Schizosaccharomyces pombe: one gene and its partners. The gene in region 2 interacts genetically with the main gene of each other region. Each region holds a gene or a part of one and is shown on either strand. Other genes may lie near its edges.

Region 1 (8,442 bases), 300 kb from region 2:
TCAACTTTGTTAATCAAATCTCGATAACCGATGATTTTAAAAACCAAGTGGTTACAGAATATACGAATGATACAAAATTGTTGAATTTACTAAACAATGAAGACAAACGAGTGGAAGAGAATATCCAACTCAAAGATGGCTTACTAATTAACAGTAAAGACCAAATCTTATTACCTAATGATACTCAGCTGACTAGGACAATTATTAAAAAGTATCATGAAGAAGGTAAATTGATTCATCCAGGCATTGAACTTCTTACAAACATTATATTACGTAGATTTACGTGGAAAGGAATAAGAAAACAAATACAAGAATATGTACAGAACTGCCATACATGTCAAATAAACAAATCTAGGAATCATAAACCTTATGGACCTTTACAACCAATTCCCCCATCAGAAAGACCTTGGGAATCTTTATCAATGGATTTTATTACAGCTTTACCAGAATCATCTGGTTATAATGCACTTTTCGTGGTAGTTGACCGATTTTCAAAAATGGCAATCTTAGTACCTTGTACGAAATCCATTACAGCAGAGCAAACAGCTCGAATGTTTGATCAACGAGTTATTGCTTATTTCGGCAATCCAAAAGAAATCATTGCAGATAATGATCATATTTTTACTTCCCAAACGTGGAAAGATTTCGCACATAAATATAATTTCGTTATGAAATTTTCGTTACCATACAGACCACAAACTGATGGACAAACTGAGCGTACAAACCAAACTGTGGAGAAATTACTAAGATGTGTATGTAGCACACATCCAAATACATGGGTAGATCATATATCCCTAGTGCAACAATCTTACAACAATGCGATACATTCAGCAACTCAAATGACACCTTTTGAGATAGTACATCGCTATTCACCAGCTTTATCACCTTTAGAGTTACCTAGCTTTAGTGACAAAACTGACGAAAACTCTCAGGAAACGATCCAAGTATTTCAAACAGTTAAAGAACACTTGAATACAAACAACATAAAGATGAAAAAGTATTTCGATATGAAAATACAAGAAATTGAAGAATTTCAACCTGGAGACCTAGTTATGGTCAAAAGAACGAAAACAGGTTTTCTTCATAAATCCAATAAATTAGCACCTAGTTTTGCAGGACCGTTCTATGTGTTACAGAAGTCGGGTCCAAACAACTATGAATTGGATCTTCCAGATTCAATCAAGCACATGTTTTCATCTACTTTTCATGTTTCTCACCTAGAAAAGTATCGACATAATTCAGAACTCAATTACGCTACCATTGATGAGTCTGATATTGGAACAATTCTTCATATCCTAGAACATAAAAACAGAGAACAAGTACTCTACTTAAATGTCAAGTACATTTCGAATCTAAATCCGAGTACTATTATGTCAGGATGGACTACATTAGCTACAGCGCTACAAGCGGACAAAGCAATTGTCAATGATTATATTAAAAACAATAATCTAAATATCTGAGAACATATGACTTATCCTCAGATTTACATAGAAAATCTTGGGGAGGGCAATGTCAGCAATACTACACTACGCTATAATACACTACGTTGAGTATCACTATATGTCACATGTTCTAATTATATATCGTACCATGTATGATACGATATGGAGATTGATCTTAATGATAATCTATTAAGATCAATATTATCTGAATACTATAAATAGAGCTACTGCTGAACCTCGTTCCTCAGTTCAGTTATGAGCTATATTAGTGATAGGTAACATTATAACCCAGTTAATACAATACCTATACTCAGTTGCTACTTATACAACCTGTGTATTGTAATATAATAGATCACAAGGAAAACTCACCGCAGTTCTACGTATCCTTAAATCAGATACCAAACTGCGTAGCTTACAATTTCATAGAAGTATGACCTTTGAACAAAATCACTATTTCACTTAATGCAGTGCTTAAATTCTTTAATTTATACTTAGTGAATCAGTAAATTTAAAATACGTTAAATGGCTTTATGGAATTTCCAAAGGAACTCTTCGAAGAGGAAATTTCAAATTATGTGATAGATTAAAGATTATGGCTATTATTCGATAAATGAGTGTTTTTTTACTCACTTGATGTGTGATATGTTACCACAAACAAAGTCCAATTTTGAAGGTACAAACATCAGAAAGTCCTGAATTCTAGCAACATTAGTCTATGTACGGACACTTTTCAACTCGTTTTACTTCATCTAGCTAATCATTTTCTTTAATCTAAGAGCCATTACATGTCTTTCTGATAGGATTTGTTCGGCTATGCTTGTTATTTGTTTATCGTATAGAGAGCGACTTATAGTGAATATATACAAAAACCATTATGATGATATACGAATTCTATATCGGTTATTAGGTGCTTCCCTAATACAATACTACACCCGCGCAATAATTCGTTATAACAAATCGTTACTGAAAAGACATGGAATATACACATTGGCAATGTAATTTTAAACATAATTAACTTCATTACTTTCTCATGAAGTTAATTGTATCTTAAACCATTTGAGGGAAAAAACTTGTCCTTTACAATTACTTCCGACAATAAAGGACGCTTTGCAGTGAATGTCTTATGGAATTGTTGTATTTGACGACTGACGAAACGAAGTACCTTAGCAAAATTCGTTTTTAAGTAATTCCAGCTAAATTTTTGCTAACAATATAAATCATTGATAAGGATGTCCGATGATTCTTTTAGTAGTGATGAAGACTGGGACGAATTGGACACCCAAGTAGTTGATAAAATTGAGAATGAATATCATAATAACACGATAGGTTTAAATGGATACTCAGTTGATGAATATTTTGATGCCAACGATTCCAATAGATATCGTCTACAACACGAGTTAGATGAAAGTGCAGCACAGCAATGGGTATACCCTATAAACGTCTCCTTTCGAGATTATCAGTTTAATATTGTCCAAAAAGCTTTATTTGAAAATGTACTTGTAGCTTTGCCAACAGGTTTAGGTAAAACATTTATTGCAGCCGTTGTGATGATGAATTATCTTCGTTGGTTTCCAAAAAGTTACATTGTTTTCATGGCTCCTACTAAACCATTGGTTACACAACAAATGGAAGCTTGCTATAAAATCACTGGAATTCCAAAGAGTCAAACTGCTGAATTAAGTGGACACGTTCCTGTTACAACTCGAAATCAGTATTATCAAAGTCGAAATGTTTTCTTCGTAACTCCTCAAACCATTTTAAACGACATCAAGCATGGAATTTGCGATCGGACTCGTATATCTTGTTTAGTAATTGATGAAGCACATCGTAGTACTGGAAATTACGCTTATGTGGAAGTTGTTCATCTACTTTCTCTTAGCAACAAAAATTTCCGTATACTGGCTCTTAGTGCTACCCCCGGAAATAAGTTAGAAGCAATTCAGAATGTAATTGATTCTCTTCATATATCCAGGATTGAGATTAGAACTGAAAACAGCATTGATATATCGCAATACGTTCAGAAGAAAGAGGTGGATTTTTTTCCTGTAGATTTGTCTGCAGAGATTACAGATATAAGAGATCGATTTTCTTCTATATTGGAACCTATGCTTCAAAAATTGAACAAGGGTAATTATTATCGAATTCAGAATGCTAAAGACATAACTTCTTTCACTGTGGTTCAAGCTAAACAAGCTTTTCTTGCAATGTCTGGTCAAAACTTTCCTGCTAATCAAAAATGGGATATTTTAAATACTTTTGATGCATTAGCGACTTTTGCCTATCCTTTAAATTTGTTACTCAACCATGGTATCCGACCGTTTTATCAAAAATTGCGAGAGGTAGAAGAAGAATGCTTTGTAGGAAGATCAGGTTATAAGAAACGCATAATAAATCACGAAAATTATCGTCCTTTAATGGACGATATAGAAATTTTGTTGCGAGATCAGTCTTTTGTCGGACATCCCAAACTAGAGCATTTGGAACGTATTGTTACAGAATATTTTGAAAAAGAACAAACCAAGGATACCAGAATTATGATTTTTGTTGAAATCCGCTCTAGCGCCGAAGAGATTTTACGATTTTTGGGTAAATTTTATCCAAATGTGAGACCAGCTATTTTTATTGGACAATCTGCTGTGAGAAAGGCTGCTGGAATGTCTCAAAAATTACAGAATGAAGTATGTAATCTGAAAATGATGGATCCTTAACTAACTAATCTCTAGACTGTGAAACAATTTCAAAAAGGTGAAGTCAATACTTTAATAGCTACCTCTATTGGAGAAGAGGGTTTGGACATAGGTGAAGTAGACATGATCATATGTTACGATGCATCTGCTTCTCCTATAAGGATGTTACAAAGAATGGGCAGAACTGGGAGAAAAAGGAAAGGTTATATTTATATGCTTTTGACGCGAGGCAAAGAAGAAGCAAAATGGGAGAGAGCCAAAGACGCTTATCGAACTTTGCAAGATAATATTGTCAGTGGTCGCGGTCTCAGCCTATCGGAAAAAAGTTATAGAATTTTACCAGAAAAGTTTCGCCCGGTTTGTGATAAACGAGTCATAGAAATTCCCAAAGAAAATGAAGAAGTTGTAGTAGCTCCAAAGAAAGTGCAATTGAGAACGAAAATAAAAAAGAAATTTTTCATGCCAGAAAATGCCTTGAATGGATTTATTACTGCGTCCGCTTTAGGTAAACCGAAACGTGCTTTAGCCAAGTCTGAAGAATCACCGTTCGAGATATGTCCCGTTACATATAGCATTGAACAAGAAAAGAAACTGGAAAAATATAAGCGTGTTTGCTTAAGAGGTTTGGATATTCATAGAAATAGGAGGTTATCTCAATTGAGTGTTACAGGACGGATACCGCATTCTCTAGCTACGAAAAGTATACATTCATTTTTAAAGCATTTAAATACTATAGATTCGCAAAAGGCTCAGGAGTGGAGAAGAGAAATAAACAACCAATTCCAAGTATCAAATATCAACTCGACGGATCGTGACACAAAACAGCCAAAGATGCATGACTTTAGACAACCTTTACACCCAAATCCGTAAGTGTTTAAACTATTGAGTTGTTTAACGATAATTACAGATTATTAACATACAGGATGACAACTTTGAAAAGGAAAGGACAACATAATTCATTTTCTTACGACAAGTCTACACTGTTTTATGACAACAACAATAATTTAGAGGAAGACCTCCCGGATGTAAATATTTCTATATCTTCAAGGAATGAAGAAGCATCCAAGACAAAACCATTTGACGACCGACAACAACGCCTTCAGCAACTCGTAGAGAAAAGGAAACGTATGAAAGGAATGCTGATTTAGAGAATTAAATAGTGTTTAGAAATAGCCTACAACGTTTTCAATTTGTAGTCTAACTCAAAAAGATATTCGTAGCATTCCATTTGAGTTTTTGATTTTTCCCATGTTGCTCCCCAACCGATAACCCCATGTCCACGAATAAGAACAGCACATGTTTGTGGATAAAGCTCGATGACTTTTTTTAGTTCATCTAATATTGTTTTACTATCGCCATTGTGGATAACTACATAATCAGTATTCAGATACCAGTCAACACCAACAGAAAACACAACTTACTAGGAACCTCTAGAGTATCAAAACAGCAAAGATAGCCTGCTGAAGGATTTCCCTTTGGAATTCCTTTGATCATTTCCTTAGATTGTGTAGTAAATTTCTCATTATACATCGATGCTCCGACTGCAGCGACTGAAGTAGAATATATACAGGCTACTGCATCCATATTACTTTTGATGTGTTAAAAATTGCTGTAAATAGAAAAAATGATGCATACCTCAAAACCCATGAGAAAATGTAGGCCCAATTGACTAAATCCTTGGTGACTGACTGATTGCTGTATAAAAGGTTAGATACTAATTGGAGCTGATCCAAATGAATAATTTACCTTAAATTAAAGGTCACGATATCGTTTTCCGTTATGAAGTCTCTTTGAACCCTGTCCTTAACGCAAATTGCATAACCACTAAATGTTAACAAAATCGTTTGAATACCGTACAATTACTTGTTCTTTAGACAAAAGTTTCCACTAAATACCAATTAGCTTTAAAAAATTACTGAACATTAAACGTCTTGAACGCTACCTGCCAAATTTCATCCATCCAAGACTGTAAAAATGAGGAATAAGTTCAAGAATCAAATTTTTCTCTAATTGGAGACTCATTCTTCTAAAATTTTCAACTTTAACCTTTAAAAGTTCCCGTACTATACTCAGAAATGATTTATTTAATGATCGGTTCTTTCAGCAAAGTGAGTAGCGTTTCATAAGTTGCGTTTGCAAATTTGATATTAAAAAGTAATTGAAGGAAGACATATGTCACAAAACACTCTACACAATCATTCATTAAGCTTATAATACACGAAAACTTTTACTTTAAAGAAAAAACAATTTGAACAAATAACGAAATAAATTACCATCTAAAATTTTAAGTCATTGTAACCCACCTATTAGAGTAACCAGTTAAATAAGTTTTCAGGCCTATATATTCCAATACTGGGAAACCAAGGAAAGTAAGATGTTAGGAAAAAAGACTTATTTTTTGACAATCGTCACTACATCCTCATCCAACAGTACATGAGATAAACCAACACGCATGCCAGGATAAGGAACGCTTTTTCCCCAAACATAAGCATGTTTAAACTGGGATTTGATACTTGAATGAATATTGTTACACTAAAGAAGTTAGCAACACGAAGATCGGCAGAAGCAATTCGAAAACTTACAAAATCCTCGACAGTAGAATGGCCAGTACGAAGGATAACAGGTTCGCTGTAATCAGGTTCAAGACCTCTAGGGCGTGTATAGACTCTAACCAAATTCAAATAGTCCCACATCGTTTCTTTAAGTTCGTCAATGTTCCAACCCCTGTTACCACAAATGGGTACGGCGTTAGGAATACGATCAATCAAATCAAGTTCTTCAATAGAAATTGAATCAATTTTATTTAACACGTAAAGTGCCGGGATATAAACGCGATTTCCTTCCAAGACATCAATCAAATCATCAATGGTGGCATCACAACGAAAAGCAATGTCAGCAGAGTTAACACGATATTCGCTGCAAACAGCACGAATTTCGTCCAAATCAATATGAGTCAAGGGGACAGTATTGGTGATATTGATACCACCACGTTCTTTCTTTTTGAATACAATGTTGGGGGGTTCCTTATTTAATCTTATACCAAATCCTTCCAATTCCTCTTCAATAATACGCTTATGAGACATTGGTTTCAATACATCCAAAACAATAAATATAAGGTTGCAAGTACGTGCAACAGTAATAACTTGTTTACCACGACCACGACCATCTTTGGCACCCTCGATAATACCAGGCAAATCCAAAATTTGAATTTTTGCACCATTGTATTGCAAAACACCCGGAACCGTTGTTAAAGTTGTAAATTCATATGCAGCGGCTTCACTTCTCGTTCCTGTAAGCTGAGTCATGAGTGTACTTTTACCGACGGAGGGAAATCCAATGAAACCTACAGTACCAATACCGGTACGAGCAACATCGAAACCAACTAAGAAAGATTAGTACTCCAAACAAAAATTTGACGTTCAGTACATACGCCCTCCACCACCTCCTCCACCGGTAGGGGTGATCAATTCACGTTTCAATTTTGCAAGCTTGGCCTTTAACATTCCCAAGTGCTTAGCCGTAGCTTTATTTTTTTGGGTTTTGGCCATTTCATCTTCAACTTCTTTTATTTTTTGCGCCGTAGTCGCCATTTTGTTTTTTTATTATATATGAAAATGCTATGAAAATGGTGAAAAGAAAATTCTATAACTAAGTACGTATAAGATCTTTTGCATTATTGAGTGCTAAGCAACCCTCTTTATTTTATATTAGTGTATTAAACCACATTACAACAGCCAAACTATTATTAAGATACCAGGTAGAATATCACGTTGGATCTCGATATTTGTTCCTTGTTGTAAGTAAATAAAAAAATATGTGAAATATTGAATCCAGTTATTCAATAGAATTTCATAAATAAATCTTTTTTCTTTTGCGTGTCTTTTTTTATGCGTTAGATCAATATAAAATATGTATGTATATAAAAAGTTGATAATTTTGTTTTGTTTTTCTTACACAATTTTAATGCAAATATTAAATAAATAAGATTGCAAAAAAGTAGTTGCTGATTGCGCAAAAGCTTGGATTAACAGTATTTTTTGATAAATAAAAAAAGAAATAAATAAATTTAGTATGTTCTAAGTCAACGGCAAATGAATTATTATTCAGGGGTTGAAGATAATGTCAGTTAACAAGGTTAATTATCGGGTCAGGGTAATAATTAAAAATTAAATAAATAAAAAATATCTGCGGCTGTTGCGTATAAACAGTAGACGGATGAGCAATTATCCCCAATAGCCTAAATACAAAATATAAGAACACATAGTAGAAACTACAAAAACATTTTTACCGGCAACAATAACCTCGTTGATATA
Region 2 (4,225 bases):
TTGGAAAAATTCCCTACTAAATCAACTGCTGAGCAAAACTGATACTCCATTAAGTTCTTGTTCATATATGACATACTCTTGTAATTATTATTTATTTGAAATGAGCGACAAGACTCATTTCTCAATTTAAATATTTGAATAATTTTAAAACATTTTTTGAATGTTGCGATTTTATTCATTCTATAATTTACCAGTTTTACGACAATCCCTTTTAAGCATTCTTTCCCACCAACCCATATCATAGAGCCCCTTTTATATGCTTATTGCTCATATCGAAAATGTCTTCGTTTTTTGGGTTTGTTTATGAATTCGTGAATTTTTAATTTGGTCATAGTTTTGACCATTAAGTTTGTTTTCCAAAAATGCTCTTTCCTTATCTACTTCGTTTATGCTTTGGAAAATTTCTTCTAAATAATATCTACGGGACTTCCTAATTCTTAAAATTGCAAAATCCGTCCGTGTTCTAAGTATTTATTTATTTTACTATTGTCTAAGTATATCGGAATGATTCTCAGAGCTTTGCACTTCTTTTTCCCTAAATTTTCTATTAACTTTTATCTTTTTGTTATTGTATTAACTTACAAAAGTAATACCGGTTCATCATGCAAAATTCCATGTTTTAACAGTTGTCATAACCTCTATCTTTTCTGTATAAGAAAGGGTAACTGTAAACCACAGTGCTATTGTTGCCTAATTGTTTCTACGTTTTCTTGAGTATTAAATACTTATTAAGAAGAAGCAAAAAAAAAAAACTTGATGAAATTATTCTCCTTTAGAAACCCTTGCTCATTTTTTATCTAGTTCGTCCTGTTTATCTGCTATGCCACAAGTACAAATTTCGGGAAGCAATATGGAGTGCCTATTTTCATTATTGTTTTCCATTGATGTCATTAGAATATTATCGTTATTTGTACATCAGATTAATTGCTATCTTCTGTTCTCGCAATAAGTTAAAAAAGCTATCACTATTGTCTTGACGAAGTATTGCACCATAATAAATGACTATTAATGAATCAAGCAAACACACTACATATGGCAACTTTTAAGCTTAAAAAATTCGTTAAAGACCCATTTGGATAGGTAGCATTTTCGTACAATTGTATGTTCTCCAATTTTATTTTTTCATTTGCAAAAGCAAACCACTGTCAGTTTCTCTTTAGGGCTGGCACAAGGAAAGCATATGCTAACATATACATCGAGCAGATAGTGAGTTAGACTACTTCTTCATGTTTAGTGTTGCAAATGACTTAGTAATTCCTGATTTGAAAATCTGTAAACTAGAAACAATCTTAAATTGGATTGGAGGATATTTCAAACTGTCTTATCAAAATTAAAATGAAAGTCCTTCTTGTTTATATATATACCTTTTGTATAAAAAGGTCAGTTTCATTCATATTTTTAACATTAATGTTATTATAAATAGGTTTAAATAATCATCAAGTTAACAGTTGGTCGCATGATGTAGTCGGTTATCATGTCGATCTAATAAGTCGAATGTCGCCAGTTCGAACCTGGCTGTGACCATGTTTTTTAATTACGTTTTCTCTCTTGACAAAGGAGTTGGCAAAACGAAATTATAAGTACAATATTTATTGAAACAGTTGATATACATATTTTTATAGAAAATTAAAACTATAGAAATAAATTAAGTAACCGCTTGATCTATGGCTCTTAGTTGTCGTATGTTGCATTTGAACTCGAAAGAGTTCAAATATATTTACTTTTCTTTCAACTTTTCTGTAGACAAGAACATAAGTTGTTTAGGAATTTCAAATTTCGATCCATCTTTACGATTTACCAATTCAGTCCGCAAAGCTCGCGTGAGTCTTCTCTTACACCATTTTATCAGAAGGAAAGTCTTCAGTAAGTATTTTTTAGCAGTTAACGAAAACACATATACTGTTTCGCCTTGATATTACCCATTTATTGAATGTATGTATCATTTCTTCAGAAAACAATCTCGCTTAGATATAGCTTATTTGAATTAAGCTATTGATTTTTTACACTGTAACCATACGCGCTTTGCATAATTATCTAGACAATGCAAAGAATGCTGAACGCGTCCAGAAAGTAAAAAAAATGAATTCGAATGATAAAAAAAAAGTTGTTAGATCATGGATTGAGCAATTTGTTCATGATTTTGTTGAGCAATTAAGTAAGCCTACCAAAGATTCAGTAAATGTTGCTTTGAAAAGACGAAAGCACAATTCTTGGAATGGCAGCTTAGATTCAAAGGCCAATGAAAGACAAAAAGTTAAGGTTTTTTCATTCCCCAGGAATGAAACAACAATTGCTCAACTATTCAGGGTTTTAGATTGTGTTCATGAAGCTGTTATTTCGGATACAGTAATCACTAAGCGGTAATTGCTTTGTACTATACGCCGAAAATTCAGATTTAAGTTCTAATTACATTTGCAGAGATATTTATTACAGAGATGTAGATTTATTCAAGCGACAAACCGTAGTCGATGAGCTGCTTGGAGATATTTCAAACACCATTGGTTGCTCCAGGTCCGACCTTAACGTTGTAAGTCATTTCTTTGGAAATAGATTCATTAACGATTAATTTGATCTTAGGAAGCATCTGCTAAAGGATTGGTATTTGGGTCCATTCATATTGCTCTTGAAAACGGGACAGTAATTACTGCTACTAAAGTAGGTTCAAGTTTTAATAACCGTAAAAATTGTTTTTTCTAACTAAGAATTTTACTAAATACAGCCATTATTAATCTCTCACCATCGAATTTCATCAATCACTTCCACAGCAAAATGGGTCTTGGTCATCGAAAAGGAAGCGGTATTCCAAACGCTAACCGAAGAGGCTTTAGCGGATACAATAATTGTTACAGTAAGTGAGAATGCTTCCTTTTCAATGATATTGATGTTAGAGTGCTAGCTAACTAATTGCTTGTAACAGGCTAAAGGATTTCCAGATTTGATGACGAGAAAATTTTTAGTTAAATTAGCCAAAGCCCTCCCGGATGCTAAATTTTTTGGTATTTTTGATTGGGACCCCCATGGCTTATGCATTTATTCCTGTTTCAAGTACGGTTCTAATGCCTACAGTCATGAACCGCACAGTCAATTACGAAATTTACAGCTTTTAGGCCCTCTGTATGAGGACATTTTTAATAAAAACCAAGAATTCTCTTTAAAATTGAATAAAAGGGATATTAAAATGATTACAACATTATTACAATTTGAAGGCTTCCAAAAGGAGCCCGTTGTTCGTGAACAGCTACAGCGAATGCTGTTTATCCAGAAAAAAGCGGAAATACAAGCAATTCTAGAATTTCCTTCATGGATCAAAGGAAAATTAGCTGATGCCGACAAAAGTGGAAAGCACTCAGTACGTTAAGTTCTTGGATAGTTCAACCTACTTTCACTACACTCCCATAATAAAGCCTCCAACATGGATGACTTGCTAGATTTCAATTTTTACGATAAATCTACACCATCTAATCAAAATAATTACAGTAATAATAATAGTAGAACGCCATCCTACTCCCTTCCCGCCCCAGTAGCCCAGAAAAAGAATGCACAAATTCCATTGAAAGCATCAAAGCCCGAAGACCCTTTTGCTAATTTATTTCAAAAGAAAACGGATAATAAAATTTCCTTAAAAGAACTAGAAAGGCAGAAAGTTGGAACTCCGGACTCCAATTCCACCCCCAAATCTTCAAATTACGATCCCTTTGAAAACCTTGAAATTTTGCATCAATTATCAAATACTCCTAGAGATAAAGATGCAGTTATTCATGATAAGATTGAAGAAAATAAAAGGCCGATTTCACAACCACAAGTATCGGCTTCCGAGAAAGTAACTTTAAAGGATTTGTCTTTAGAGCCGCATCAGCCTGTCAGTTTACCCGCCTTTGAGAATATTGGTTCGGAAACCTCTATCCCCTTTGAAAACCATAATGAAATTACTAATATGAATACTGCAAAGGATAAGTTAAGTTCCAACGAGATGTATGAAAAGCTACGCGATTTGGGCTTTTCTGACGATCAAAGCAGATTGGCTTTAGAAAATTCCGGGAGCCTGGAGGATGCCATAGAGTACATTCTTGAAAAAGATAATGCAAAAGGACAGTATCGTGAAGGAGAAGCTTATGAAGCATTTTCAGATTCAAGTGCAAAAACTCAATTTTCAGACTTTCAAGCGTTATCCAATCAATTAAAAAGTCAGTTATTTGAAAAGGCTAATGATCTTTGGAACATTGGA
Region 3 (4,969 bases), on a different chromosome or scaffold from region 2:
ATACTTTTAGTTGGTGGTGGAATAAAACTACAGAGGAAAGAGCGACATAAATTTCCATTTAATTAAAATCATTCAACTCTAAAGAGAGGGAAATCAAGTTTGGATACAAGACATGTCATGCCATCATGAAGGATTAGACTGAAAGACGGCCAGTCGTAAAAAAAATAATATATTTTTTCGCAAAACGTAGTCAATTAAAAGCAAGCTCGCGAATTAGGCTAGCCCTTACTTGGACCTAGCTTTGGTAATGCAATATCCCAGGGACCGTGAATTTCACTAAGATATATATGTGAGAATTTAGAAAGAAATAATAAAATAAAATAATTACATACTTTTTAAATCTTTGAAGCTTAATAAACCAAATGGGACATATAAACGAAATGAAAAATATTAATGAAAGAAAGACAAACGCAATAACAACAGATGCAACAGCATTCAAAGCAATATATGCACTTATGATCAATACGAGGGTCATAAGCATGTCAGCGTAAAAAGAGAAAACCTGTAATTGGTTAAATAAAAGAAAAGGCCAATAAATTGCTTCTTACATGAATGTATTTGCGAAAAATGGGGAATAGTGCAAACCAATGAACGGCAAAAAGAATAAAAAAAAATACATTAATTGACTTTTCCAGTCGTGAAGCTAGAACAACAGATGCACTCAGCGCCGCATTTGTTGATAAAGAATTGTGTAGCCTAAAAAGAAAAATAATTAGAAATGGAATTAATTACGATGAAGTTTCCAAAGACGTACCTGACATGAGGTCTGATAGTTTCCGTCGTATATTCATGAAAAAATACGTTCGCAAGGAAAAGCCAAACAGCAATAGCCCAAACTGAGTCAGGAGAGGTAGATTTTGTTAATGACATTAGAATTGGCGATAGACCAGCAAGCGTAAGAACAATTAATATACAAGATTTAACGATCCCCATGTAATTAGGAAAAGTTCTATTGTTACAAGGCTTTCTCAACACAAAATCCCACAAAATGAATGCCGCGACCGCAGAAACATTTGACACGAAACCAACAAGCGCACAAGATAACTGGTTCCTATAGATCGAAACGAAAACCGAGGCAAATATAACTACGCTTGATAGATGCTGGGAGACAGGTAAACTATCGGCCACTAAAGACCAAAAGTCAGTGACTTGAATGTTAACATTTCGTTGTAAGCCATTCAAAAAAGATTCATCAATGAAGTTATCTGGGTAATCTTGTTTCCTCCATAAAACCTTTTTCCAAGGTTTCTTTAGTTCAACAACTTCTTTTACAGAGGCTTTCCTGAACGTGTTCAAGACGAGTGATTTCGCGACCATCTTTTTGGGCGCTGGAGCAGCACATACTTCATCCATTCAGTTTTAAAGTAATTTATAAATCAACTAAATAACTACATTCGTCCTAAACTCTCATACAAATTAAGCTGAATTTGCTTCCAATACCGTATTTTCAACAGTTCTTAGAGTAGTTGGATTTGGTTAACATCGACTGACTATAATATAAGTTGACTAGTACTGTATGTTTGGGTCCGCAAACAAATAAACCACACTTTCCTAATTTAATTCATATATATCTACTTTAAAAAGTACATTCAGCATCGTTAAGAGTTTTTATTCCCAAGAAAATGATTTAACTGCATGACTCTGAATATAGGGTTGTTCATGAAATCTGCAATCGCGCATACTCGCAATTGGACTTTAATCTATCAATTGACAATTCAAGTGATAAAATTTACGACTGAACTCTTATAAACCCGAATTCAAGCATTCTAGTAAGCTAATAAGTCAACATTAATTATAAACAATTATTCTAAATTCAACGAAAAGTAAACTTTCACGAACAGGGTTTACATTTTACGAAAAATATGTGTATTCTTTCTAACTTTCCCTTATTCAAAAACTGCAAAAGGTTATCTCTTAGTTTCCTATTCTTGATGTACGTTTAACTCGTAGTGTTATAAAATACTTGAAAGCTAAATGTGCGTGGTACAATAAGATGATCAGTAGAAAAATATGCTGTTTTTTTTTTTTTAAAATAAATATAATAAATGTTCTTGTTCCATTGCTTGCATCTGTATGTTTTCTAACCATGTTTATGTGCGTAAACAATAGAAAGAAAAGGATAAAGAAAGAAATTTCACAAAAATATATAGCATAAATTTTTTTTAAAAAAAAGAAAGGAATATCTGCTGCTTTTCACAAATTGTTCTAGCTGCGCGTATTTAATGGTAATCAAATTTTGTTTCACACTGAATACTGATTTCATCTACTACCAACATATACCATTACACTGTATGTTTCATGATTGTCAATATATGAACGGACTATTTTAAGACAAAAAATCGAAACGACCATAAAAATTTGATAAAAAATTGAAAGGAAGCTAGGCGTTTTGTGCGTGTTTGTTTAAATTTGCATTGGTCAATTAACGCGTCAATTAGTAATCAAAATAGTAGAAATACAAAAAAAGGAATAAACGGTATGGAGAAAGAGAGACAAGATGGATTATCTGACAAGCATAAATTCATTCTTCAATATATAATGTGTCGCACAGCTGGTGTTGATAATGAACAAGTTCGTGAACTTGTTCAAGAGCAGTATGGAGAAACGGCAACTGTAGAAGATGTAATAAATGAATTGAACAATTCTTTGCACAATTTCGATTTTAAGATAAAACGAGTACAGGATCAACTGGATGGAAGATTAACGCTGCACTTTCAGAATTTATCTGGAGACCCAGTATCCCAAATGGCTACTCCTTACCCTCCTGTTCAGATAGAACTTATGAGAAAGATAATCGAATGGATCATGAAGTGTGATGATTACCAATATTCATTAACGACTCTGCAAATCCAAAAATTATCGAGAAAAGAAATGGGATTGGCACCTAGTGTTATTGAGTCTCACTTACATACGTTTGAACGTGATGGATGGCTAAGACAGAGAGAGGGTATTTGGACATTTACGAATCATGCGTTAGCTGAATTGGATGCTTATTTACACAACGAATACGAGAGCAATTTATACGAATGCAACGCTTGTCGCGAAATTGTAATTGCTGTAAGATACATATCACAAATGCAAACTTACTAACTGAATACCTTATAGGGATATGTATGTGATTGTGGCTACTGCTTGCATGTTTACTGTTGCAAGCATTTAGCTCATGTTAATTGTATAAATTGTAACACGCCATGGGCAAATGCGACCGTTATAGGACGCTGGTAATTTTTTCACTACCTACTGGTGTTCGCTTTACTTGTTTATACATTTGGGCTACTTGGGAAAGGATATAGAAAACTTATAAAATTAACAGTTTTTAATGTTGGAAAAAAGGGTTCGTAATTAAACTATGTGGAGAACACTCGCATTTTAAACTGAAATCGTTAAAATTCAGGTGAAGGGTTAGACTCATAAAACACGAACTCAAAATCTTCTTTACAAAAAAATAAAAGAGAAATGACATCGATCATCAAACGCATAATCACTGTCATTTTCTTTAAAAATGTCCGCATTTACATCACATTTAAATCTGAGTGCAATCGTCCTTAAAATTAGAGCTGTTAAAAAAGCCATCTTGTACCAGTTTATCGTAATTTGCTGCAAGAACAATAACAAAAGATGTTTTTGCGTCCAACAGCTTTTTTTTTAGTATGCTTAATAGGCAGTGGCTGACGAAGAAAAAATTACCCATTAATTAATTTATTCCTTGATGATAGCCAACAACTCGTGATCACGGTACAACGAATACTCCTCTTCGCCCACCTTGATGTTGCTTCCACCATAAGCAGGCAGCAAGACACGATCACCAACGGCTACGCTGGGTTGAGCCAGTTTACCTTCCTTGTTATAACCGCCCTTTCCGACGGAAATAACACGACCTTCGGATAACTTTTCAACGCTCTTCTCAGGTAGAAAGATACCAGAAGCGGTTTTGGTGTCGGCCTTGATACGTTGAACCAGAATACGATCCAAAAGAGGCACGATTGACTTGGCGGATTTCAGTTTGGTAGCCATGTGAAAGAATGCAAAATGATTTTAAAAAAAAGCCTAACAAATACAAAAACTGTGGTTAATGCCAATATATTTCCGTCAAAACTTGTTCGTTTTGGGCAAGTGCTCAGTAGCTTCAGTTGAAGCTGTGATCCTCCTTATTAATCTTTTGCAGATCATCTGGAAAGTTCTACCAAAAGTTTATTTTGCGTTAATACTCAAGGTTCCGGTAAAACACAATGCGAGATTCGGCTCCAATATGCTATATTTTAATAATGTTAACTACGCAGTTTGGTATCTGTTTTAACGACACGCAGAACTGCGGTGAGTTTTCCTTGTGATTTAATATATAGTGTAGTATAGCTGACATTGCCCTCCCCAAGATTTTCTATGTAAATCTGAGGATAAGTCATATGTTCTCAAATATTTAGATTATTGTTTTTAATATAATCATTGACAATTGCTTTGTCCGCTTGTAGCGCTGTAGCTAATGTAGTCCATCCTGACATAATAGTACTCGGATTTAGATTCGAAATGTACTTAACGTTTAAATAGAGTACTTGTTCTCTATTTTTATGTTCTAGGATATGGAGAATTGTTCCTATGTCGGATTCATCAATGGTAGCGTAATTGAGTTCTGAATTATGTCGATACTTTTCTAGGTGAGAAACATGAAAAGTAGATGGAAACATGTGCTTGATTGAATCTGGAAGATCCAATTCATAGTTGTTTGGGCCCGACTTCTGTTACACATAGAACGGTCCTGCAAAACTGACACGTATCATACATGTGATGCAAATCACAGTAAGTGTAGTTATGTCGTGAATTACTAACATTTACTTTACAATTAAAAGATAGAGTATATAAAAATGGTATTGCTGTCAAATAATTTAGTTGGAAAGCCTTCATTCAAGTTGGATATTTGTCGATAACGATGGTTTCCGTACCACCGTAAGAAATTTCTGGTTTTCTACGCACT
Region 4 (6,333 bases), on a different chromosome or scaffold from region 2:
TTTTTATGTATTTAAATCTCATATTTACAATGTGACTGTTCTTTTTCTTTGGTTTTCTTCTTGGTGGTGGCCATAATCCACGGTTTCTTTGGCGGTGTTTAGTGGTTAGCGACGTGGAAAAACTATTAAGCGGCAAAATTAGAAGTCGCTAAATAAAATAACGTGTTTAGTGGCGGCGTCCTTTGTATGACGATATCATTGTAAATGTAAGGCTATATTAAAGATATCACTATAGATAAAGCATGCCATGAACAAATCGACGCGGTCCTTATGTCTCGTTAAACTAATACCACACTGCGTTGTTAAGAACGATTTTTGACGCTGTAACTCTTCTTTTCAACATATGTTGCTTGTAAGCTTTCCGTGGCTAAATGACCTCTGGCAATAATATGGTTTTGGTCGCATAACATGATGCAGTAGCACTAAATGAATTTAGCATAGGGTCGGCATAATCGCATTCAGATAGCTGCTGTCGGACATCATATTTTCAGAGTCAGAACTGTAATGATTGTATATTGGATCGTTATATACCCGCATCATTTATATAAGGTGAATATAGATATATCCTTCATTGAATTTCTATAAGTAAACTCAAATGAACTCCGTTTATGAGTTCATTCGCGAGTTAATTTAAGTGCATTCATAGTAATGTATTACATTATTACAAATATCTTAATACATATTTATAATCATTCATATTGCAATACGCGGGTCATAAAGGTCGCAACTGGGGTATAGTTATTCTGTTATACAGGTTATATTTTTACCTATCACTAATATAGCGTATAACTGATCCTCGTTCTTCATTTCAATTGTGCTTCCATTTGCATTATTCAGATAGTATAGAACTTATTATAATTTCATTAGGAACAATCGTAATATCGTATCATCTATGGTATAATTAGAATATGTAGCATATAGTGATATTCAGCGTTGTGTATCGCAGCGTATGTAATATTGCTGACACCTTAACCGATTTAGCAGAGTACGTAACTGACGAGTTTGAAGCAGTTTTTATGTATTACCATTTTTACTTAATAAAAATTATGTAGAGCGAGTGATGATGCCAAGTTTCTCTTTTATTTTGTAATAATCTATATTAGTAATATTTACATACCTGTCAACTTTTTTTTTCGCAAATTTTTTTAAACAATTTCATGGAATTAATGTTTGAAGAAAACATATCAGATCAATGATCAGCTTGAATAAAAAAAAAAATTGAAAAGAAAAGAAAGTTTTCAACTAGTTGGTTCATTCTAGTAAGTGATGATTGTAATTGATTTAAAAAAAAAAAAAATCCTTCGCTTAATAGAAAGAATGCTTTTCTTTGTTGTATTAAAAAAAATACTGAGTAGTATTAACTTAATTTACTTAGATAAATTAATTTACATATACTTATTTATTTATTATTATTTTTTTTCAGCTGCTCTACATATCTCAAGTTGATGAGTTGTAGAGGACTTTATTTTCGCATTCACTCAATTCAAGTTTCGAACACACTATGCAAATTAAAAATGTTCTCTTAATGAAAAGTATATTTGTTCGTATATTCATAGTTCAATTTACCGTTGCGATTGAAATCATCGAAATGTAGCATCATGTAACACGGTGAAAATAGAGACTGAAACAAATAATTTCAGGCTACATACCAACTATACGTAGGAAAGCAAATTTACGCTTGTTCGTGAAAACCTATGTACTCAAGCATAATCGTAGCGGACTTTAGTGTTTTTAACGTTTATTCCATCAATAATTAATATACTTAGGATTCACAGTGTGAAATGAGGTTAACATACCTTAACTTGAGGAGAGTTAATCTAATGAAAATCATAGTTACGTTTTACATATCATCAATGTATGTACTATTGTTTTGTGTATGTGCCATAGGCATGCCAAATAACATGGCTATTTATAATGTAAACGAGTGTGTGCAAATGTATAATTAATTTCATTAACTTCTTTTGAAAATATCTGCTTCTAACACAAACATTAAACCTTCTAAAATTGTAAAGTCCGCAATTACAAGTCTACTACTTTGTTGATCGTTAGTCTAACATGCGTCAAGTAGAGACAGCCATTGAGAACTACTGCCACTACATATATGCCATAGCGTATCAATAGGCATATCTTCGATCCCATACTTTCTTTTAACAATTAACAATTTAAGAAAGAATTAATTTCTTATTCAAAAATCGCTCCTTTGAAATTGTTACAAGAGTCAATGCCTACTGCTTTGGATTTGCTTATGTCGAAGTTCGTTTTCTAATCAATTATGGAAGAAAATTCCAGTGAGTTAGATAGTAATAACTTTAATGTTCTAGTGGATAATTTAGCTGGTCTTTCGCTGACGGACGAGGAAGTTCGTCGCATTTTATCACCCAGAAAGGAAGGATCTCGGCAATTACCCTCTTCTACATCAAAAGACGAAGATTCGGAAGAAGCTTCTCATAAGTATGATTTTGAAATTGATAGAGATTCTTTAAAATCTGATTCTGGATCACCTCGTCTCCATCAAAATGCTACTGCTCCAACGAGCTCTACTCCGCTTCAATCTCCCGATGAATCAGTCAATAAATTGAATAGCGAGGACGAGGAGGGAAATAGTTCTGTTGCACCTTTTTTTTTGGATACTACGAATTTTGATCGTCTCAATGACAACATTACTACTGATGATGAACAGCTTTCTCCCGTACTTACGGCTAATCAAGGGTTTCAGAGCCAAGAGCAGTATGAAGAAGATAGTTACAATAATTACGATTATACTTCGGACCCTTCAAGTCCGAACTATATCTCTTCTTCTCTAGATCAGTTACCTCATTTGGATGATGAAGATGATTTGCAATTAACCCCAATAAAAGAAGAACGAAATTATTTACATTCTCAAGATGCCCCCACTACCAATGCTTTAAGCAAAAAGATCTCCGATATATTGATACCGGCGTCTGCTATGAAAGACCTAAAAGACAGGAAAAATGCACTTGCCAAAGAGTTTGAGGAATCTCAGCCCGGCTCCTCCTTAACTTTAAAGGAACAAGCAAACGTGATTGATAATTTGAGAAAGGAAGTGTTTGGGTTGAAACTGAAATGCTACTTTCTATACGATCAATTAAATAAATTCCACGATCAGGAGGTTCAAGATATTATGAAGCAAAACATCGATTTGAAGACCCTTACTATGGAGCTTCAACGAGCCGTTGCAGGCTATGAGAAAAAAATATCTGGATTAGAAAGCCGGATTAAGCCTGATCAGTCTTTTAACCTTTCCACCCCCAGCCCGGCCCCTTCAAACCTAATTACTCTTCAATCGAGGTATTCGCAGGCTCTTTCAGAGCTTGAAACTACCAAAAGAGCGTTTGCGGCTTTGAGAAAAGAAAAATCAAAGAAGACGAATTATTCTGTTGGGGCATACAATGAAGATCGTAATGTACTGTCAAATATGCTTGATAACGAACGGCGGGAAAAGGAAGCTCTATTGCAAGAGTTGGAATCCCTTCGCGTACAGTTATCCAAAAAAGTTCCTATGCCTGCAAAAAATACTGATGAGCGTGTTATTGAAACACTTCAGCGTAGTAATGAACTGTTGAGGATGGACATATCTATGCAAAATGAAGCATTACTACTTCGCAAGCAGGAAAATGATCGCCTGGTTAAACAAGTGGAGGAGCTTACCGTTGCTTTGAATTCAGGGAAGATGAATGCGATTGTAGAGGCAGAATCAAGCAAGAATGAATTGTGGGATTCTATGATGGTATCTAGAATGAAAACCCAAGAGCAATCAATTGAACTTACTCGTTTATATAAACAGTTGCAAGATATTGAAGAGGATTATGAAAATAAATTGATGAGAATGGAGCAACAATGGCGGGAAGATGTTGACCAACTCCAGGAATATGTCGAAGAGATTACCCAAGAACTCCAGGATACCAAAGAGGTGCTGTCAAAGTCTTCAAAAGAGTCTGATGATTACGAAGAAGTAGTAGGTAAACTTAGGACTGAAGCAGAGCGTGAAATTGAGAAATTCGAGAAAACAATACGGGAAAATGAGGAGAGTATCTCTTTATTCAAAGAAGAGGTTGAAAAGCTTACTGATGAAATTACCCAATTGTCAGAACGTTATAACGATAAATGCCATGAATTTGACGAATTACAAAAGCGGCTGCAAACTTTGGAAGAAGAAAATAATAAAGCGAAGGAAGATTCAACTTCAAAGACATCAAATCTTCTTGAACAGTTGAAAATGACAGAAGCAGAAGTTGATTCTTTAAGGAAGGAAAATGAAGAAAACAAGCAAGTAATTGCTTTGAAAGAAAGCGAGCTGGTGAAAAGTAACGATAACAAACTTTTACTCAATGAGCAAATTGAGTCGTTAAATGATCAACTTAGTCAGTTAAAAACTGAAATGGAAAGCGTTACAACGAGTAAAGAATCGTTAGCCGATTATCTTAGCAACTTGAAGGAAAGGCACAATGACGAATTAGATTCATTAAATAAAAAACTTCGTGAATTTGAAGGTATATTGTCATCAAACTCTTCTTTAAAAAGTGAGATTGAGGAAAGAAATAATCAATACGTTACCCTTCGCGAAAATTTCGATTCTTTGCAGAATGCTATTATGGAAACATTTGATAAACAGGTCACCCACTGCTCGGTTAACCATTTGGTACAACAGATAAGAAAACTAAAAGATGAGAATAAAAAGGATCAGTCTGGTACTGATAAGTTGATGAAAAAAATCTACCATTGTGAGCAAAGTTTAAAAGAAAAAACAAACTCTTTGGAGACGTTAGTGTCTGAAAAGAAGGAGTTAAAGAACTTACTGGATGCGGAAAGACGATCCAAAAAAGCAATCCAATTAGAGTTGGAAAATTTGTCTTCACAAGCTTTCAGAAGAAACCTCTCTGGATCTTCCAGTCCTTCTGAAAGGAGTCAATCTAGAGAACTTAAACTTTTACAAGCATCTGAAAAACGCCTTAAAGAGCAAGTGGAAGAAAGAAATTCCCTCATAAAAAACATTGTCACTCGTTTTACCCAACTGAATACGGGAAGTAAGCCTGTAAATACCAACGTTGAAGCATTGACGACAATTTCAAGCATGAATCAGGCAGTAAATATGAATTTTAGGGAGTTGGACAAATCCATTCAAGAATTCAAACGGAAGTGTCAATCAATGGAGCGGGAATTTAAGACCGAACTCAGGAAGCTTGATGGTGTACTTGAGGCTAGAAGTAAGCGTTTATCACAGTTGGAAGAACGAGTGAAACTTTTAGGCGCTGGGTCAACTTCATCTATTCCAAATTCGCCAAGGGCTTCAAAACGCGTTAGTTTGGATTCCGAGGATAAAAAGCTTGTTCCCGCTTCTCCAGATAAGTCAGCAGTTCAAAGAGGTATCACAGCTTTGAAACGAGATGCTGAAGGAATGAGCCATATATGGCAGTTGAGACTAAGAGAGATGGAGTTTCAACTCAAGGCTGAGCAAGAAGGTCGTAAAAGAGACAAGTTGGGTGCCAGAGAAAGGCTTCAAGATTTGATTCGACAAAACAGGAGTCTTTCAAGGCAAATAAAAACGGATAAAGAAAGCAATTCTAGGTCTCCTTCTATATCATCACAAGAACATAAATAATAATCTGGATAGTTTGCGGTTGAAGTATATAGCTTTTCTTAATCACCAGTACATATCTACTTAGTTGGAGAATTTAATTGACAAAATAAGCTAATTCCAAGATTTATATTTATTTTTTATTTTTTTTTGTTCTCGATTAACCATTTTGGTGTTTGTATCTCCCTGATTATAAAGGAAATAATCACACATATTCGTAAAAAAAATTTATTTTAATCGCGCAAAAGAATTCGAAATATAATTTTTTATTTAACCTTTTTTAAGTAAATTTTACTGCGCATGTATCATCTTTGTAAAAATTCCCAGAACCCGGTGTTTGTTTACATTTGCTGGGAGAATCGAGTTTTATTCAGGCACAACGTGTACTCAAAATAAATTTCAAAATTGAGCTCACATAAACTTGAATAGGAGCAAAAAAAGGAAAGAATCCATTGCATGGAAAAAGCAATTCACTTGGGACAATTTTATAGAACGATTCCACAAACATAGAATGGACCTACTGGGCCTTAAAGAATTAGACAATAACAAACTAGTATCAAAGGCAAAAGAAAATGGAGTCGAATTTTCTGATTTATTTTTACTATCAAGCGGCTATTTACGAGACAGGGAAAATGCGTCAGCAAGTGTGTCTTCGAAAAATGAACGCATGGTGCTCAACGAAGAAAGACAAAATTGCTGGACGAAAAGAAATGATCCTAAAGGTTTAACTTACTACC

The links.
Region 1: of rec12 (region 2) and fml1, changing one suppresses a phenotype caused by changing the other (phenotypic suppression), as found in Schizosaccharomyces pombe (one study listed by BioGRID).
Region 3: of rec12 (region 2) and nse1, a mutation in one rescues a mutant of the other (synthetic rescue), as found in Schizosaccharomyces pombe (one study listed by BioGRID).
Region 4: of rec12 (region 2) and mto1, changing one suppresses a phenotype caused by changing the other (phenotypic suppression), as found in Schizosaccharomyces pombe (one study listed by BioGRID).

What each region holds. Positions count from the first base shown.
Region 1 is NC_003424.3:1,468,389-1,476,830, forward strand, and holds fml1 (ATP-dependent 3' to 5' DNA helicase), read left to right. Parts: upstream 1-2,445; 5' UTR 2,446-2,671; coding exon 2,672-4,120; intron 4,121-4,165; coding exon 4,166-4,995; exon of another isoform or gene 4,996-5,051; coding exon 5,052-5,277; 3' UTR 5,278-5,303; coding exon of another isoform or gene 5,304-5,497; 3' UTR 5,498-5,550; coding exon of another isoform or gene 5,551-5,717; 3' UTR 5,718-5,764; coding exon of another isoform or gene 5,765-5,824; 3' UTR 5,825-5,875; coding exon of another isoform or gene 5,876-5,953; 3' UTR 5,954-5,992; coding exon of another isoform or gene 5,993-6,016; 3' UTR 6,017-6,071; coding exon of another isoform or gene 6,072-6,151; 3' UTR 6,152-6,520; coding exon of another isoform or gene 6,521-6,661; 3' UTR 6,662-6,711; coding exon of another isoform or gene 6,712-7,511; 3' UTR 7,512-7,559; coding exon of another isoform or gene 7,560-7,719; 3' UTR 7,720-7,887; downstream 7,888-8,442. Other genes in the region: Tf2-1 (retrotransposable element/transposon Tf2-type), read left to right, coding at 1-1,460; SPOM_SPAC9.06C (5'-methylthioribulose-1-phosphate dehydratase), read right to left, coding at 5,304-5,497, 5,551-5,717, 5,765-5,824, 5,876-5,953, 5,993-6,016, 6,072-6,151; SPOM_SPAC9.07C (GTPase Rbg1), read right to left, coding at 6,521-6,661, 6,712-7,511, 7,560-7,719. UniProt on the Schizosaccharomyces pombe protein: ATP-dependent DNA helicase involved in DNA damage repair by homologous recombination and in genome maintenance. Capable of unwinding D-loops. Plays a role in limiting crossover recombination during mitotic DNA double-strand break (DSB) repair.
Region 2 is NC_003424.3:1,770,846-1,775,070, forward strand, and holds rec12 (DNA topoisomerase type II (DSB-forming) Rec12/Spo11), read left to right. Parts: upstream 1-2,079; coding exon 2,080-2,360; exon of another isoform or gene 2,361-2,418; coding exon 2,419-2,527; exon of another isoform or gene 2,528-2,577; coding exon 2,578-2,655; exon of another isoform or gene 2,656-2,719; coding exon 2,720-2,848; exon of another isoform or gene 2,849-2,917; coding exon 2,918-3,358; downstream 3,359-4,225. Other genes in the region: protein hua1, read left to right, coding at 1-20; UBA/TPR/DNAJ domain protein Ucp7, read left to right, coding at 3,413-4,225. UniProt on the Schizosaccharomyces pombe protein: Required for formation of the double-strand breaks (DSBs) that initiate meiotic recombination. Required for crossover recombination and chiasmatic segregation of chromosomes during meiosis I.
Region 3 is NC_003421.2:1,191,719-1,196,687, forward strand, and holds nse1 (Smc5-6 complex ubiquitin-protein ligase E3 subunit Nse1), read left to right. Parts: upstream 1-2,268; 5' UTR 2,269-2,478; coding exon 2,479-3,057; intron 3,058-3,105; coding exon 3,106-3,225; 3' UTR 3,226-3,699; coding exon of another isoform or gene 3,700-4,014; 3' UTR 4,015-4,305; downstream 4,306-4,969. Other genes in the region: gpi2 (pig-C family GPI synthesis protein), read right to left, coding at 219-276, 333-502, 549-696, 755-1,353; protein Hsp10, read right to left, coding at 3,700-4,014.
Region 4 is NC_003421.2:1,679,211-1,685,543, reverse strand, and holds mto1 (gamma tubulin complex linker Mto1), read left to right. Parts: upstream 1-2,272; coding exon 2,273-5,620; 3' UTR 5,621-5,783; downstream 5,784-6,333. Other genes in the region: mug27 (protein kinase Mug27/Slk1), read left to right, coding at 6,108-6,333. UniProt on the Schizosaccharomyces pombe protein: Spindle pole body (SPB) component that acts as the gamma-tubulin complex-binding protein of the SPB outer plaque.